Saccharomyces cerevisiae S288C: one gene and its partner. The gene in region 1 interacts genetically with each later gene. Each region holds a gene or a part of one and is shown on either strand. Other genes may lie near its edges.

Region 1 (4,239 bases):
CCAAAAAGTGAGCAGATCTAACTACCATTGTTGTATTTGTATGGAAATGGAAAAGGGTGTTAGAATGATCAAATTGCCATGTGAAAATGCGAATGTAGAACACTATCTTTGCAGAGGATGCGCCAAATCTTATTTCACTGCAATGATTCAGGAAAACCGAATATCCAGTGTAAGATGTCCACAATGCGAATACAAAGAATTAAAACTAGAAGATTTCAAGAGCTATAAAAAAATGCTGAAGGCATTGTTTACACCTTTGATTCCAGTGTCCTTCTTAAAAGAGGTTATCGATACAGAGCTATGTGAAAGATACGAAAAAATGTTCTACAACCAGGCGGCTACAAGACTCTCAAAATATTGTCCGTATGCTTGTGTGACTTGTCGAAGATGTGATAGTTGGTGCACAAAAGAAGACCTCGATGATGCGATGATTCAGTGTCAAAAATGTCATTTTGTATTTTGCTTTGACTGCTTGCATGCCTGGCATGGTTACAACAATAAATGTGGCAAGAAAGTTTCGTTATCGACCGATATTATTGAGGAATATCTAGATGATACCGTTACTTCATATGAGAGAAAGCGGAAACTGGAGGCAAAATATGGGAGAAGAGTATTAGAACTTGAAGTCAATGATTACCTTGCTGAAAAAATGTTAGATTTAGCGATTAAAAAAGAGGGTTCGAATTTGCAGCGATGTCCAAAGTGTAAGGTAGTTGTAGAAAGAAGTGAAGGTTGCAATAAAATGAAATGCGAAGTATGCGGGACGCTGTTCTGTTTTATATGCGGAGTATTACTTTATCCTGAGGACCCTTATGAACATTTTAGAGAAGCATATTCAGGCTGTTATGGACGATTGTTTGAAGGTATGCCTGGCACAGAAACTTGAGTGCGATCGCTCTGCCTTCAGTCTCACACTTTTTCTTATAATCTATTGTCATGAAATTTATACAGATGAAAATGAAACGTTATCTTGGGTATACTGCATTCTCTTTTCTTTTACATATCTACCTATCTAAAATACCCTTAGTTTTATCATCTGGCTGATAACGCAAGGACCACTTAGGTCCCATGATGGTGATAAGAGCCATATCCAGTAGTGTGAAAATCCACGAAGCACAGTAGACCAAAAATGAGCAGATTGCCACTAATCTGACCAAAAACTGTATAAAGCTTAAACGAACATCAGAAACTACTATGGATAATGGTTCGAAATTGTATTTGAAGAAGATGCCCGGCATTTTATCACCTTTAGCAGCGACATCTTTGTACAAATAGCGGTAATCGTTAACAGAATATTGATTAGTATCCACTTCTGCCCCCAATTTCTTGAAAAGAGTGGGCACAACAGATGTGTAATAGACGTAAGTAGTTAAAGGTTCATCCTGATTAAACTGTGCAGTGTTATCCAATGGGTTATCAATATATGGATAGAAATCACCAAAAGAGAACTCATTAATAACATGATTAAATTTTAATTCTTCCAGTGGTGCTTTGCGTGAAGCCACGTAACCTAAACTCTTCGCTGTAATCTGCAATTCGCCACTAACTCTATTTACCGGAATGGACCCAAATACATGGCACCCATTGAATTCCGGAAGATGTGCCTTGTTAGGATCACTTTCATCAAAAAATGACCTAGTATCTAGTTTTTCTCTAAATTCTGCTGGGATAGCTTCCCCTAAGATTTCATCCAATTCCGGCGTAATAATTTCATTGATATCATTGACTTTTGTGTCATAAGGAATAAAGAATGGCATCTCTTCCAATTGCAATTCCTCTAATACAAGTTTCCGATCCATTGTTTGGTCTCTGACGTTGATTTGCAACCAATCACATTTCGTGTTGACGTATATATCCATATTAATTTGAACGGTATCTCTAACTTGACTGTCCACTACGTACTGCTGGTCAATATAACCACCGAAGTATTCACCAAACTCGGTCCATGCTATAAACAACAGAAACAGATATGTCAACAAAGATGTTAAGCCACCCTTGGTGGATTTCTTCTTGTACTGTTCTTCAGTTTTTGCTGTAAAGTTAAATTTCCATTGTTAGTGAAAAAGCAAAAGCAAAAATAAAATATGCTGAAGCGGGCTACTTCAGAAAAATCCATATAACATACGAAACGCATCAAATGTCTTCAATCCTGCCATTATATACTCCTGAAGTCTCTGCCTGTACGTTACAGCAAAAGCATTTTGGAGGAACGCTTTTCTCAGTAAGAATAGAACATTGATAATATCTTTTCAAAGCCTTGACCGAGCGGGAAAAAAGGACGTTATGCAAAAATACTTAATATACTGAAAGGCTGTGTATATGTTTACATATTTACTGTCATTTGAAAAAAAAGTTCTGTGGTGAATTACTTCTCCATCAAGTCTGGAGAAGGGGAGTTAGATGTGTCTTCTGTATACTTATCAGACTTTTTGGGCTTAGCTTTGTAATGATTTGCTGCAAGAAATGCGAGTACCAATAGGACCCACTGGATGGCATACCTGGCGAGCCCCATAATGAACCCACTTCCCACGTTTACTTTTAACAGTTCCCAGCCTGTAGTGTGTACAGCAGCGTTGTCAGATCCTACGTCTGTTACCTCTTCAGGTTCTAATGTTTTCAGTGCAATCAAATATACGATGTTACATAATATTGTCAATGTAGCAATAACAACTAATATTGAACTTGATGACTTCAAAAGCATAGGAAATAAGCGGTGTCGTTTCCCAACACTAAGTGCTCCCCCAAAGGCTGACACTACGCAGATACTGAGGAATCCGACTATTATTTCCAACACTGCAAAGTAAAAAACCATGCCGTTGAACATCATCAGTATAAATGCCAGGTTGACGCCTTTCAGATAGTTTTTTGTTGGTGACACGCCTTTTACATTTGGATCAGGACTGCCAATCAAAGCCTTTGATAGGGCATTTCCTGTGTGCTTGTCGTGTTTCAAAAAATCACGAATAGATGTCAATGCCAAACGGTAGGTCAATACGAGAGAGTCTCCGAATTTTTTGGTTTCATTCGATCGTGTAGTGGAAATGTTACCTAATTGAATCCCGACGTCTCTGACAAGTACTTCAAGTACGTCCATGCCATAATTCTCATTAGAGGTACAATAAACTTTGCTTTTATTACTCCGTTTACAAAATCCAAAATAATTGAGCTCAAAAACCTTATCAGGCTGAAATGTGTCCACCAAATTTTCATCCTCATACACACTTGGATCAGTGAATTCATTCGACCAACCCATGTCAATTGTCAGGTACGAAATCAATCGCAGAAATTCTCTTACACTTGCAATAAACTCATTTGCAGTACTGGATCCTCCAATCACAGTTATAGTAAACTGTGGAGCGCATAACCTAAGTCCCTTAGAGTTCGTACATGTTGTGGCTGGCAGGTAGAGGACAAATTGTGATAAACTTAAAATCAATAGAACACCCCACACAATCAGACGTTTAGGGAATAACATGCTCGCCCTTTTATATTATGACAGAAAGAATATATATATTCATATATAACATGCTTCTATTTATTAGTTTTATCTTTTAATTGATGGATGTGTCCATAGAATTTAAGTAAGTGCATGGTATGGAGTGTATAATGGTTTATAATTTCCCCTAAGATGACACAAAAAAATGTTCTCCCAAAAATTTACCAAGAAAAAAAATTAAGAATACTACACAATTGATGCTTGGGTTATTTTAAATATCCGGTACATTCTATTACAAATATGTTTGTACAATGTAAGCCCCTTCATAATGGTCAGTATTAAGATAAGGACTGCTATGGGGCATTTTTTGTCTTACTGGGTATCACAGGATAATAACTTGGCGCCAAATTAGAAAAGATATAAACCTCAAATATTTGAAATTCTTTGGTGACCTGTCTCATCGTTATATCAACAAATATTGCACCAACGAACACCACTACATATGTAACTACTCTCTTCCTCGACTTATTTTTTATTAACGTTGACACGGCCAGATCGAAAATCATAGAAAAACAACAACATTGAGAAGAGATGAAGTTGCGCAAAGGGAAAGAAAACTGCATAGGCGGCAAATTCAGCCTAAAAGTTTCCAGAAGCAGGAACTCATTCCCTATTGATTAATACTCATTACAAAAACCACAATAGAGTAGATAAGATGGCAAAAACGTTGAAGGATTTACAGGGTTGGGAGATAATAACAACTGATGAGCAGGGAAATATAATCGATGGAGGTCAGAAGAGAT
Region 2 (7,146 bases), 570 kb from region 1:
AAAACTTGCAATATTTTCAAACCAATGCTATTCCAGTTCGTTTGAGTATAATATTCGTAACAGGAAAGGAAAAGCGAGACTGCCTCCTCATATTTCTTTCCCTGATAGTAAAGCAAACCTATCTCAATGGATAAAATATCTACTATCCTTTGACGCTTCCCTTCACATTTGTTGAAGAGAGAAAGAATTTCTTTGGTGAGAGTAAGGAAGTTTTCTTGGAAGACAGTTTCATCGACAAAAGTTTCTTTTAATAGATCAAATTTGTATTTAACGTCACTATTAGGGTAGTTTTTGTCCATTAGTCTATAACCACTTGTAGCCATAACACCTTGCACCCAGTTGTCGCGCTTCAACATTAATAACTCAGCTTTGATTTCACACAAGAGAGGATTTGAGACATTCTCAAATTCAAAATATGACAGCATCGAAGTTATAAAATAGTGCTTAAATTCCAATAATCTCACAGACTTTCTATACTCTATTGATATGGATTCAATAAAATTCTTGATTAGTTGAAATGCTCCTACAAAGGCGGTCAACGTCTGGTCCTCTAGTTTTAGAAGTCTTAACCTTCTAATGAAAAAATACTTATGCAATTGAAACTTATCGAGTGTACCTTCTATTATTATGGAGCCCAGTGATTCATCTGATTTAGAAGATGATTCAAAAGGTACCTGAAGTTTTCCATCCGGCATATTCATGTTTCTACGGAGTATTTCTTTTTTGATTTTTTGCAATTCCAGGCTGGCATCTTCCAAAATATTGAATACCACATATAACTCGTACAATTTTTCTCTTGTCAAAAGCTGTTCCTCAAAGTTATTTCCTTTTTGTAAATTGGCCAACGAATGTTGCAAATGTGTCAATCGTTTTTGAAAGATGCTCAGTACGGAAGCCTTAATCTTTTGGCTAAATTGGTTCCAAAACTCCTGCCTTTCTTTGGGAGATCTATAAACCGATCGAACTTCCAAAGTTTGTACATGCGGAAAGTCTTTGCCAAATTTCTCCATTAGGGATACCGATTTGAATAGGTTAGAGTCCACTACTTCAGAATTGGCATACAGTAAAATAATTGGTTTATAAATCATTTTTTCTCCTGTCGATGAAGATACAGATTCCAGATTTGGTAGCCACTGTCTCACAAGAGGCCGTACTTTGGCCCTGTATTGGTCGATAGAGATACAGTTCACTATCAAAAATCTGATAAACGGCTGTTCATCATTAGACTTGTCTGCCTCCCCTCTACCTTCTGGAATCAATTCAATTGGAAGCCTGTTAACCGTTCGTACAGTTCCGTCAAATGCCTTCCAATGTATATTGTCTAACGGTAAAATCTGCTGAAACTCTGGCCTCAGACTCTCAAATAAATCAAACGGGTCAAAATAGCTGACAGGAACCGATCCACAATATATTTCTTTATCCATCTACTATATTAGCATGTAAAAGCAAGTTCACTGGCTATTTTTATTGCTTTTATGCTCACTTTCTTTCAAAACTTCTAACTTGCACTTTTCACCATTTTCATGTTCCGCGAGCTGTTCTTAAGAAGTGAAAACAAAGGAATTTAAAATGCGAGAAAGTCTTTAGTCCTATTGACAAGTATATTGAACACGTTGTAAATTCACCAAGGGGTTAAGTACAAGAACCAATAAATCTATACTGTGAAAATATGTCAAAAAAAAAAGAAACCTTTACTCCAAGGGCAAATAAACTTAAACTGACGACCCCAAGAAGAAAACTGAAAATACTGTCATCTCTCCTTGACGCGGACGAGGATTCCAAAATGAAAGATCAACATGGGTACTCAAGGGTCCACAATGATAAATACAGAGTAGCAAAGCCTACTCAGCACTCGACTTTACATGAATCTATTTCCTCCAGGCGAAGCAGTCATATTCATAATAAATCCCTTCATGAAGATAGTGCGAGGGCATTAAGCTGGGTAGATTCTCTAATTAATAGGGGGAAAAGTATACTTACTACACTAGAAAAGGAAGATGCCTTGTTTGAGCGTAGTCTTGAGGAGGAAAGACAACGTTTTCAGCTTCATGACTCTTTAATGAACAAGTACACAGGAAACAGTAAATCTCATCAGCGACTAATCGATCTCAGGAAGAGCCAATACGGAACGGATACTTCTTTCCAAAATAATGATGAAATTCCCTTAGATAGTTTCATAAGTTCTCCCTTACCGGACGCTGAGGACGAGTCGTCCTCAAATATCGACTCCGATAAGGATGAAGATCTGGAAGGTAAACAATCTTTAATCAAAGATTTCGATCTTGAAAATGATGAATACGAGCTCTCTGAAGAAGAAAAGAATAGTGACGGCCAAAGTAGTCCTTCAATAATGATATTATCAGATGAAGAATATGCAGAGGAAGGAGCACTACAAGATGTATCGAATGATGAATATGCCGAAGAGGAGGGGCAAGTTGAGAGAAAGAATATAGGGCAAGAACAGGCAAATGTAGAGAATGCTACACAAATTAGTTCTTCTGATTCCAGTGAAGGACAGAATTATTCAGAGGGAGTAGAAATGGAATTAGAAGACGACATTGATGTGGAAAGCGATGCTGAAAAAGATGAAAGTCAGGGTGCAGAAGGAACAGAACATTCGGTAGATTTTTCAAAATACATGCAGCCTAGAACAGATAATACTAAGATCCCCGTTATCGAAAAATATGAATCTGATGAGCACAAAGTCCATCAAAGATATTCAGAAGACGGTGCATTTGATTTCGGTTCAGTAAATATTTCAGTTGACGATGAGTCCGAGGATGAAGAAAGTCAAGCTGAAAGTTACTCAGCAAATGCTGAAAATGTGTACCACCATAATGAACATGAACTGGATGATAAGGAACTAATAGAAGATATAGAATCTTCAGATAGTGAATCCCAAAGTGCACAAGAAAGCGAACAAGGAAGTGAAGATGATTTTGAATATAAAATGAAAAACGAAAAAAGCACGTCAGAAGAAACTGAGAATACCAGCGAAAGCAGAGACCAAGGTTTCGCTAAAGATGCTTATACTAAGAACAAAGTGGAACAACAGGAAAATGACGAAGAACCTGAAAAAGATGACATTATCAGAAGCTCTCTAGACAAAAATTTTCACGGAAACAACAACAAAAGTGAATACTCGGAAAATGTTTTGGAGAATGAAACTGATCCTGCTATAGTAGAAAGAGAAAATCAAATTAACGATGTTGAAGGTTATGACGTAACAGGAAAAAGTGTCGAAAGTGATTTGCACGAGCATTCCCCTGATAATTTGTATGATCTCGCCGCAAGGGCTATGCTTCAATTCCAACAAAGTAGAAATTCGAACTGCCCTCAAAAAGAGGAGCAGGTATCCGAATCTTATTTAGGGCACTCAAATGGAAGCAACTTATCGGGCAGGTCTTTAGACGAATCCGAAGAGCAAATACCCCTAAAGGACTTCACAGGTGAAAACAATAATAATTTAAAAACAGACCGAGGTGATCTTTCATCTTCTGTTGAAATAGAGGTTGAAAAAGTTTCTGAAAAGAAACTGGACGGTTCTACAGAAAAAGAACTGGTACCACTATCCACAGATACTACGATTAACAATTCATCATTAGGAAATGAAGACAGTATCTATTATTCACTCGATGACGCTGATGCTATATCAGAGAATCTTACCGATGTTCCTCTTATGGAAATCAAAACAACTCCGAAATATGAAGTAGTAATTTCTGAATCTGTGTATAGTTCTACTTCTTACGAAGATAACACAGTTGCCATGCCACCGCAAGTGGAGTACACTTCACCATTTATGAATGACCCATTCAATTCGTTGAACGATGATTACGAAAAGAAGCATGACCTACTGAAATCAACGTTAGCAGCCCTTGCCCCAGCTTTCACCAAAAAGGATGCAGAATTTGTGGAAGCTGGAGTGACGAAATCATGCTTGACATCTACATCTGGGCACACAAACATTTTTCACACAAGTAAGGAAACTAAACAGGTGAGCGATTTGGATGAATCTACGGAAAACGTTACTTTTGAAAATGAAAATACAGGTGATGAAAATAAAAATCAAAGTAAAAATTTTCCAGGCGTGGCTAACAGTACTGACAAGTCAACTGAAGATAACACGGATGAAAAGTACTTTTCAGCGATTAATTATACCAACGTTACAGGAGACTCTTCCTGCGAGGACATAATTGAAACGGCTTCAAATGTAGAAGAAAATTTAAGATACTGTGAAAAGGATATGAACGAAGCTGAGATGTCTTCTGGCGATGAATGCGTAAAACAGAATGATGATGGTAGTAAAACTCAAATTTCGTTTTCAACAGATTCGCCAGACAATTTTCAAGAAAGCAACGACAACACTGAATTCTCTTCTACTAAATATAAAGTAAGAAATAGTGATCTTGAAGACGACGAATCACTCAAGAAGGAACTTACAAAAGCTGAAGTAGTTGATAAGCTTGATGAAGAGGAAAGTGAGGATTCATATGAACAAGATTATGCGGATCCAGAACCAGGCAATGATGAAGGCAGTAATGAAAATATAGTTAAAGGTACAAAAAAGGATACTCTCGGAATAGTAGAACCAGAAAATGAAAAAGTTAATAAGGTGCACGAAGAAGAAACACTTTTCGAAGCCAATGTCAGTTCATCCGTAAATGTTCAGAACAAAGACATGCACACCGACGTCATCAATCAAGAGGCGCAAGCGAATTACGAAGCTGGTGAAAGAAAATACTATATCCAGAATACAGATACGGAGGAAGCACACATTTCCATTATCGAAAGAATAGATGAGAATGCGATTGGAAATAATATGGAGATCCCAGAAAGGTCGTGCGTGGAAAAAACGCACAACGAAGTGCTCTTTGAAAGAAGAGCAACTACCATTGAAAACACAAAAGCCCTGGAAAATAATACCAATATGCATGATCAGGTTAGCCAAGCTTGCTCTGATTCAGACCGAGACCAAGACTCCACAGCTGAAAAAAATGTTGAGGGATCTGCAAAACATAATTTGGACATTCGGGTGTCCAGTTCGGAAATTGAGTCTGTGGAACCATTGAAGCCAGAATCTGATCGATCAAATATTTTTTCATCCCCAATTCGTGTTATTGGAGCTGTAGTTAAGGGAGTGGGTAAGGTAGTCGACGTAGCTGAATCATTCGTGAAAAAAATTGATGTTATGGATTCTGAGAGTGATGATAACGTTGATATTGGTGATTATAATCAAGACATTTTTAACAAGTCGAATTCTACCGATGCATCTGTTAATATGAAAAGTGTAAGTAGCAAAGAGAGAGACAGCGATGAAGATGAAGCTGTCATACTCGGAGGAGTTACCGCAGAAGCACATAATGACAATGGTAATAATTCTCGTGTGATAAACATCGATCCCACGACAAACGGTGCTTATGAAGAGGACTCCGAAGTGTTTCGACAGCAAGTAAAGGACAAGGAAAATTTGCATAAGTCGGAAGAGCCGCTAGTTGAAGGTTTACAATCCGAGCAACATTTCGAAAAGAAAGACCACAGCGAGAATGAAGAAGAATTTGATACCATATATGGAGATATAACATCAGCAAATATTCACAGTAATGCCCCCGATGATATTAAGAGACAACAACTCCTAAAGAATCTAAGTGACCTAGAGAATTATTCTCAGAGGCTCATTGAAGATTCCAGGAGAGGAAAAAATCAAGAAGAATCAGACGAAGTTAATACAAGCCGTGAACGGGATCTCACGTTTGAAAAGTCCGTTAATGAGAAATATGCTGGAGCAATTGAAGAAGACACTTTTTCGGAGTTAGATATTAGCATTCAACACCCCGAACATGAAGAAGACCTGGACCTATCAAACAATCAGGAGAGGTCAATAGAAGAACTAAATTCAGAGCCAGAAGAAGCTGAGTTGTACGAATTGGAAATAGAGGGCCCTACAGAGACAGCAGCTTCTAGTAAAATGAATGATGATGAAAGGCAACGCGGAAATATACCGTCCACAGATCTTCCATCTGATCCTCCGTCTGATAAGGAAGAAGTGACAGATTCTTATCCCTATTCAAATTCGGAAAATATTACCGCTGAAAAGAGTGCGCCAACATCACCGGAAGTGTATGAAATATTCTCAGACACGCCAAATGAAGTCCCTATGGAAATTAATGATGAAATTCCCGCCACCACGCTTGAGAAACACGATAAAACCAATGTAACATCCGTTTTGGATGATAGATCAGAACATTTATCTAGCCACGATGTTGATAATGAGCCACACGATAATTCCATTAACATCAAAGTAAATGAAGGTGAGGAGCCCGAACATCAAGCAGTGGATATACCTGTTAAAGTAGAAGTTAAAGAAGAACAGGAGGAAATGCCTTCAAAATCTGTACTTGAAGAACAGAAACCAAGTATGGAACTAATCAATGATAAAAGTTCTCCAGAAAATAATAATGATGAGGAAACAAACCGCGAAAAGGACAAAACTAAAGCAAAAAAGAAAAGCCGTAAAAGAAACTACAACAGCAGAAGACGGAAAAGAAAAATCACAGAAGGCAGTTCTGCCGCATCAAATACTAAAAGGCGTAGGGGGCACGAGCCAAAAAGCCGTGGACAGAATACGCATCCAAGTGTTGACAAATAATCAAATTGTATACAGGAATATGTAGATAGTAATAATTATTGCGATGCGTTTTTCTATACGAGATCTAAAAGGAAAAAAGTTCGGTTTTAAGGCGGAGTTAACGTCATGTCGAATGGAAAGAAAGATTATATAAAGAATGGAAAAACAAAAAAGGTGAAAAAACATCTTGGAAGGCCTCATAATAAATCAATCGGCTGCCTCGAGAAATGTCAGAGTTGAGAGCCTTCAGTGCCCCAGGGAAAGCGTTACTAGCTGGTGGATATTTAGTTTTAGATACAAAATATGAAGCATTTGTAGTCGGATTATCGGCAAGAATGCATGCTGTAGCCCATCCTTACGGTTCATTGCAAGGGTCTGATAAGTTTGAAGTGCGTGTGAAAAGTAAACAATTTAAAGATGGGGAGTGGCTGTACCATATAAGTCCTAAAAGTGGCTTCATTCCTGTTTCGATAGGCGGATCTAAGAACCCTTTCATTGAAAAAGTTATCGCTAACGTATTT

What was found. Genes that interact genetically often act in the same process or in processes that back each other up.
Region 2: mutations in ERV41 (region 1) and ESC1 together harm fitness more than expected from each alone (negative genetic interaction), as found in Saccharomyces cerevisiae (2 studies listed by BioGRID).

Annotation. Positions count from the first base shown.
Region 1 is NC_001145.3:138,059-142,297, forward strand, and holds ERV41 (Erv41p), read right to left. Parts: upstream 2,157-4,239; coding exon 2,126-2,156; intron 2,033-2,125; coding exon 1,005-2,032; downstream 1-1,004. Other genes in the region: ITT1 (RBR-type E3 ubiquitin transferase), read left to right, coding at 1-886; SMA2 (Sma2p), read right to left, coding at 2,366-3,475; ORC1 (origin recognition complex subunit 1), read left to right, coding at 4,152-4,239. UniProt on the Saccharomyces cerevisiae protein: Constituent of COPII-coated endoplasmic reticulum-derived transport vesicles. Required for efficient transport of a subset of secretory proteins to the Golgi. The C-terminal Ile-Leu motif is required for exit from the endoplasmic reticulum.
Region 2 is NC_001145.3:705,464-712,609, forward strand, and holds ESC1 (Esc1p), read left to right. Parts: upstream 1-1,669; coding exon 1,670-6,646; downstream 6,647-7,146. Other genes in the region: transport protein particle complex II subunit TRS130, read right to left, coding at 1-1,424; ERG8 (phosphomevalonate kinase), read left to right, coding at 6,853-7,146. UniProt on the Saccharomyces cerevisiae protein: Involved in the clustering of telomeres at the nuclear periphery, forming discrete subcompartments that accumulate a complex of histone-binding silencing factors like SIR4. Required for SIR4-mediated anchoring and partitioning of plasmids.